Saccharomyces cerevisiae S288C: one gene and its partner. Changing the gene in region 1 together with any one later gene gives a genetic interaction. Each region holds a gene or a part of one and is shown on either strand. Other genes may lie near its edges.

The links.
Region 2: mutations in HXT14 (region 1) and AAD4 together harm fitness more than expected from each alone (negative genetic interaction), as found in Saccharomyces cerevisiae (one large-scale study listed by BioGRID).

What each region holds. Positions count from the first base shown.
Region 1 is NC_001146.8:38,160-42,210, reverse strand, and holds HXT14 (Hxt14p), read left to right. Parts: upstream 1-1,881; coding exon 1,882-3,504; downstream 3,505-4,051. Other genes in the region: prephenate dehydratase PHA2, read left to right, coding at 1-140; cleavage polyadenylation factor subunit PFS2, read right to left, coding at 195-1,592; YNL320W (uncharacterized protein), read right to left, coding at 3,657-4,051. UniProt on the Saccharomyces cerevisiae protein: Probable glucose transporter.
Region 2 is NC_001136.10:17,077-20,612, reverse strand, and holds AAD4 (putative aryl-alcohol dehydrogenase), read left to right. Parts: upstream 1-2,046; coding exon 2,047-3,036; downstream 3,037-3,536. Other genes in the region: YDL242W (uncharacterized protein), read right to left, coding at 1,301-1,654; THI13 (4-amino-5-hydroxymethyl-2-methylpyrimidine phosphate synthase), read right to left, coding at 3,387-3,536.

The DNA of each region.
Region 1 (4,051 bases):
ATTTATTTTTCATTGAATATTACACCGAGAAGAATACCCCAAAGAATAAAGAAAAATTCTATGAAGATATCAGCGACAAAAGTAAACAGTGGTGCCTGTGGGGTACATTCCCCAGAAATGAGAGATATTATCACAAATAATATGTTATATAGTCTTTTTATTTATGTATCCTAAAATCTCGTCAAAGCGCACTTTTATATGCTTAAACCTGGCAATGTGGAACTCTTGATGTTTGAATCGATGCCTGGGATTTCTTGACGCGGTTTCTTGTTGATGAATCCATTCATGTTTGGTAACGCATGTGGTTCAAGTGTAGCTGGTGGTGGCGGGGCCGCACCGAATTCACTCTTCTCTCTCACAGCATTGATGTCGTTATTGATGCCAAAAAACCATCCATTTATCTTCTTATTGTTATAAGTTGGATCATCATATGCATTAGGATCAATTGGCCTCGCTCTAGTCCAAAATCTTATGGTTCTATCCTTAGCTGCTGTGGCAAATATATGTCCTACTGGATTATATGATAACGAGGTGATACACTTATCATGGGCGTATGGAATAGTCAAAATAGGTTCGTTTAGATTTTGTAAAAGATCAAAATGCTTTAGCGAGCCGTCATAGCACGCCAGAGTGAACATAGATTCATTTATTGGGTGCCATTCTAGTGTCATATAATCCGTTTCATCTCTTACACACATTAGTTCCTTCATACTGTATCTAATGTCGAACACACGACACGATTTATCTTTTGAAATCGCCATTAATAGATTTCCCTTGGTGGGTTGAAATCGCGTCTTCAAGACAGTATGTTTGAACTTCAGAATTGATGATATGCAGTTTCCGGAACGCGGATCCCACAGTTTTACTAAATTGTCCTTAGATGCGGAGGCAATTAACCCCATCTCGGGATGCCAATCACAACTTTTCACGTCCCAGTGGTGCCCCGATAATACTCTTTCTTGTTTGCCATTGCTGAAGTTCCAAATCTTCAAGATATTATCATCTGAACAGGTAACAAATTTCGAGTCGTTACTACTGAATGCCATATCCCTAATACTTTCCGTGTGTGCAGCATCAATTTCTTTAACCATACTAAAGTTTGGTTGCCATATCTTAATCATTCCATCTGCGTCCCCACTAATCATCCAATCACTGTCGTGAGAATATTTCATTGTAGTCACAGCCGAATCATGTGCTTGCATGAGGGTTTCAAACGTAAACGAAGATGCGTTCCATAGAGAAAATTCTCCGCTATAAGTTGCTACTACAAGTCTTCTGCCTTCTGGGGTCCATTGGATGGCGGGTATCACATGTTTCACTTTATTCGAGCTTAAATGCGTAAATTTGCTGGGCAAATTTATGACTCGATCTCGACCTCTGTAGGCATTAGGCGGCATTATATCTATTGTGTATGAAGTTTCTGGCTCTACCACTAGGTTCGGTAATCCATGTCGTCTGTTGTAATATAGGTTAATATACGGAGAACTCACGTCTACCGATCGTCTCTGTGTCACATATTTCTTCAGAGGTGGTTGTTGTGACTGCTGAATTTGATTCTGATTCTGGTACTGGTTCTGATTATGCCCGTCCATAACGTGTCTATGTTGAGCTTCTTAATATCTACCCAGCAACCTGTATATCAGTGCTTTCTTTAATTATACTTCCCTTGACAAATCGATACGTCGGCCCTCAAAAGAAGAGGAAAAAAAATAGAAAAAAAAATAGAAAATAAAAATGTCAGTAATTCTAATGATGACACAAATTCAAATAGCAACATTGAATACTGTTTAACAGAACAATTAACCACTTTTAATTAGAAATACTAACAAAGAATTTGTTAACGTATTCTTAGGAAGTAAAGTACTTCAATTATTGCTAGAAATGACTGCTCAGATTCCGTATCAACATAGCTCGGGATACATCTCTCATTTTCACAATAATGAGCTTGATGCAGGCAGGGGAAGGGATTATAATGTAACCATTAAGTATCTAGATGATAAAGAAGAAAATATAGAAGGCCAAGCAGCAAAGATTAGTCACAATGCGAGTCTGCATATTCCCGTTTTATTGTGCTTGGTAATCTCGCTTGGTGGCTTTATTTTTGGATGGGACATTGGAACCATCGGTGGAATGACAAATATGGTTAGCTTTCAAGAAAAATTTGGCACAACTAATATTATCCATGACGATGAAACAATTTTTGTATCTACTAAGAAACTTACTGATCTGCAAATAGGCCTAATTATCAGTATTTTTAACATCAGTTGTGGCGTAGGGGCTTTAACTCTGTCAAAAATCGGTGATTGGATTGGTAGGAAAGGTGGTATATGGTTTGCCTTAGTAGTGTACTGCATCGGTATAACCATTCAAATTCTCTCCTATGGAAGGTGGTATTTTTTGACATTGGGAAGAGCCGTAACGGGAATCGGTGTGGGAGTAACCACTGTCTTGGTGCCAATGTTTCTCTCCGAGAATTCTCCACTAAAAATCAGAGGCTCCATGGTATCTACGTATCAATTGATTGTAACATTTGGCATACTAATGGGAAACATTTTAAATTTCATATGCGAAAGATGTTATAAAGATCCTACACAAAATATAGCCTGGCAATTGCCATTGTTCTTGGGATACATTTGGGCAATTATAATTGGAATGTCACTTGTTTACGTTCCTGAATCTCCACAGTACTTGGCAAAAATCAAAAATGATGTGCCCTCTGCTAAATACTCTTTTGCGAGGATGAATGGCATCCCTGCGACGGATAGCATGGTAATTGAATTCATCGATGATTTGCTGGAAAATAACTATAATAATGAGGAAACTAACAACGAATCAAAAAAGCAAAGCTTAGTTAAAAGAAACACATTTGAATTTATTATGGGAAAGCCAAAGTTATGGTTGAGACTGATTATTGGTATGATGATAATGGCATTTCAACAGCTGTCCGGAATAAATTATTTCTTTTATTACGGAACGTCTGTTTTCAAAGGTGTCGGGATTAAGGATCCTTATATTACTTCAATCATACTGTCAAGTGTTAACTTCCTTTCTACGATATTAGGCATATATTACGTGGAGAAATGGGGCCACAAGACATGTTTATTATATGGTTCAACAAATTTATTATTTTATATGATGACATATGCTACTGTGGGGACATTTGGAAGAGAAACGGACTTCTCAAATATTGTTTTAATTATCGTGACTTGTTGTTTTATTTTTTGGTTTGCAATAACATTGGGCCCAGTTACATTTGTACTAGTGTCCGAATTGTTCCCTCTAAGAACGAGGGCCATATCAATGGCTATTTGCACATTTATCAATTGGATGTTCAATTTCTTAATATCACTTTTAACACCAATGATTGTATCCAAAATTGATTTCAAACTAGGATACATATTTGCTGCTTGCCTATTAGCGTTGATAATATTCAGTTGGATACTAGTTCCTGAAACGAGGAAAAAGAATGAGCAAGAGATCAATAAAATATTTGAACCGGAGTAGATATTACATAATATAAATAGAAGAAGTAGCAAAGTGCAGTTTTTTTTTCCATAATAAATAACCATCAGTAACTAAGTGGCCGTGAGGACTGACCACATTTTCTTTACATACAGTAAAGTAAATAAATCTATCAAATATTTTGATTATTACTTTTAGATAAAACCCTTCTCTATTAGAAAATCTCTTATTATATCCCAGTACCCATCTTGAATAATAGTATCATTGTGTGAACCAAGTGGAAATTCGAAAATCTTTTTGTTCGAACTAGGACATGTTTCGTACAGTTTCCTCATGTGGAAGGGTGGAACGATTTCATCTTTTAATCCACTTAAAAACAAGAATGGCGTCTCTGAACTACAGCTTCCCATAAGGCCTTCTGAATTCCAGATTTCGTGACATAAAAGCGTAAAGCGTTTCAAAAGGGGGAAAATATATGGGATAACTTTTCGAATACTCAAAAATGTATTCTCCAGTATAACGCCATCGCATAGATCCCGAAATTTTGAAGCAATGTAAAGAGCATTAGCACCACCTAGAGATCTACCAT
Region 2 (3,536 bases), on another chromosome or scaffold:
TTTTTCTTGGGTGTGATGCAAAAATCGCTGATAGGAATTATAATAAAGGAATATATATATATATATATATATATATATATATATATAGGTACTAATTGGCTTTTCTTATACGCCTCCTATTGATTCACTGCCGAAAGTGCCCTGTTATATACGACAATCATACGCCTGTTTGCAAATAGTCAACATATTCAACTCGGAAGGTAAAAGATGAAAAGGCAATTTTTTTGATTTTCTAAGAAAATGCGCAGCGGGCAGAAGGGTCTTCGCAGGCAACTGAGTAAAGAATATGAGAAAAGCCTCTAAATGTTGAACCCTGAAAAAGTTTCATCTATTTTTGATAAAGACTTTTCAATAGTGCAGGATCACGCAAGAAAAAAAAAGGTCCTTAAGAGCAATTGTGGGAAAATATAATACAATGCTTGCGTTAAAACTTCTAGTTACCTTTTACAACCGAAAGTAAACACTAGCATGGGCTTGGAGACGAGCAGCGCAAATTATATAGTTTGAGATAGAACGCTTTCTCCGGTATTGCCTGGGGAAAAGGAGTCACATGATTAGAATCGGCGAAATTTTTTTTCCAAAATTAACAGCAGGGTTGTCTGGATGTTTTATTGAAAATAGAAGCCAATGACAAACACAAGAGGCCAGTAGTATATTAATTTTAATGTGCATTCTAAAGCATCCTCACGTCTTTCAATCTGAAGTTACTGTTCGAGAAGGAGAAGAAAAGAAGGAAAAATGAAGGATATGAATAATAACATGAGTACTAGTTACGTCCAATCTGGTCACACCATATATTGATGCATCTTATGCGCCATAACTTCTTTTTTTGTAGCTATAATTTGTTGCCAGAAAAATGAAAACTTTTCAAAATCAACCAGTTTCCAATTTTTCTGCAACTCGTTATTTATGAAGATAGATGATGATTGACCCCCTTTCTCCAAAAATCGATGCAGCATTGGGTTATTTTTTGAGCTTTCTAATTATAGGGCCATTTTCTAGCAAGACTGTATAGCACATGCTCGCAAAGAACATGGCGTAATGTTCATAAGAAACAAATTTTGTAAGTTTCTTGTGCCTTTTGAGTTTGAAATCATTGACCAGAACAATGAGAACTCTAAACACGACAAATGGATCTTAAATCAATTTTCTTGAAAACATCTTCCAGTTTCGATATTCGCACATTTGCCGGTAAAATAGTGCAATCTGCCTATACCTTTAAAATGGGATCTTGAACGCGTACCTGAAGGTTTTTTTAAATAAGGCCGAACCTAAATGTTGCCTTCAAAATTAACCTGTATCAAATTTTGAAGCCGAAGTTGGTATCCTCACATTGTCTAACCTCATGGTCTCCTAAAGTCCGGCGATCACTTTCCGTTGCGTGACTATTGATGATCAGACTGTCAACAATGTCGTTCCGGGCCTCCATAGCTTGAAGAATTTTCGTTGACGGAACTAGAGGAATGGCAGATGGAGATGACCTTAGTTTCATGTCGCCTTGATAGTTATCAAAGAGTACAGAAACAAGACGTCTCTTGCTCAATAATAAGGATTGGATCAGGTGCTTACAAATTTTATTCGTCATACAAACAATTACTAATATTTTTTTAATATTAAGCGTACCCCTATTTGATTGGCTCTCTTCTAAATTCATACGTTTTAAAATCCGCTTTCAACCGTCAACATAAAATTAGTAAGCAGACCTCGTTCCAAGACCCAACTAAGTTGCACTAAATATCCTCGAACAAATTGGGGGCAGATTTTTGAACCATATAAAAGTCATGACAATATTTCCAGATCAAGGACAGTTGCAGTTCTTCCTTTCATCGGCCAGCTGACGAATTGACTGAGCGGCTTTGTATTTCACTAGAATACACTTCCTATAGCTACAAAATATTATTCAATAATATTAGTGAATTATTTAAACCTCTACCTGAACCACCTACCGAGTTGGGACGTCTCAGGGTTCTTTCTAAAACTGCCGGCATAAGAGTTTCACCGCTAATTCTGGGAGGAGCTTCAATCGGCGATGCATGGTCAGGCTTTATGGGCTCTATGAATAAGGAACAGGCTTTTGAACTTCTTGATGCTTTTTATGAAGCAGGAGGTAATTGCATTGATACTGCAAACAGTTACCAAAATGAAGAGTCAGAGATTTGGATAGGTGAATGGATGAAATCAAGAAAGTTGCGTGACCAAATTGTAATTGCCACCAAGTTTACCGGAGATTATAAGAAGTATGAAGTAGGTGGCGGTAAAAGTGCCAACTATTGTGGTAATCACAAGCATAGTTTACATGTGAGTGTGAGGGATTCTCTCCGCAAATTGCAAACTGATTGGATTGATATACTTTACGTTCACTGGTGGGATTATATGAGTTCAATCGAAGAAGTTATGGATAGTTTGCATATTTTAGTTCAGCAGGGCAAAGTCCTCTATTTGGGTGTGTCTGATACACCTGCTTGGGTTGTTTCTGCGGCAAACTACTACGCCACATCTCATGGGAAAACTCCTTTTAGTATCTATCAAGGTAAATGGAATGTGTTGAACAGGGACTTTGAGCGCGATATCATTCCAATGGCCAGACATTTTGGTATGGCTCTAGCCCCATGGGATGTTATGGGAGGTGGAAGATTTCAGAGTAAAAAAGCAATGGAGGAACGGAAGAAGAATGGAGAGGGTCTGCGTACTGTTTCGGGTACTTCTAAACAGACGGATAAAGAGGTTAAGATCAGTGAAGCATTGGCCAAGGTTGCTGAGGAACATGGCACTGAGTCTGTTACTGCTATTGCTATTGCCTATGTTCGCTCTAAGGCGAAAAATGTTTTCCCATTGGTTGGTGGAAGGAAAATTGAACACCTCAAACAGAACATTGAGGCTTTAAGTATCAAACTGACACCAGAACAGATAGAATACTTAGAAAGTATTATTCCTTTTGATGTTGGTTTTCCTACTAATTTTATCGGTGATGATCCGGCTGTTACCAAGAAGGCTTCACTTCTCACGGCAATGTCTGCGCAGATTTCCTTCGATTAATCAGATTTCTTTTTTGGTGCGTTTGTGTAAGAAATATGTCCTTATATATTCCACGCTATCTACTTTTATACTTTTGAATAAGCCGCACCTAAAAACAGTCTTTATCCCTCACCTAATTCAGGCGTAAATTGTGCAGGTTACAGCATTTGAAGTGGTAAATCGAGGCAACACAAGACTTTCGATACTTGGAGGCAAGTACGATAATTACAAGGGAAAAGAAGCTGTAATAAAAGGCTCATAAATAATATCTTAATAGTAAATATCTAAATATCAGGGAGGAAAAAAAACCTAATGGGAAATCATAAACAAGTCGTAGAGGAAGGCTACGCTCGAGGAGTGACGAAGTGCGTTTAAGCTGGAAGAGCCAATCTCTTGAAAGTACCTTCCTGTCTGCATTTTTCTTGATGAATAGCCATCAATCTTTGGGCTTCCAAAGGATCAGAAACCTCTTCTGGTTCTGGCCAGGACAGGTATTCATTAGTGTAGTTCGAGACATAGTC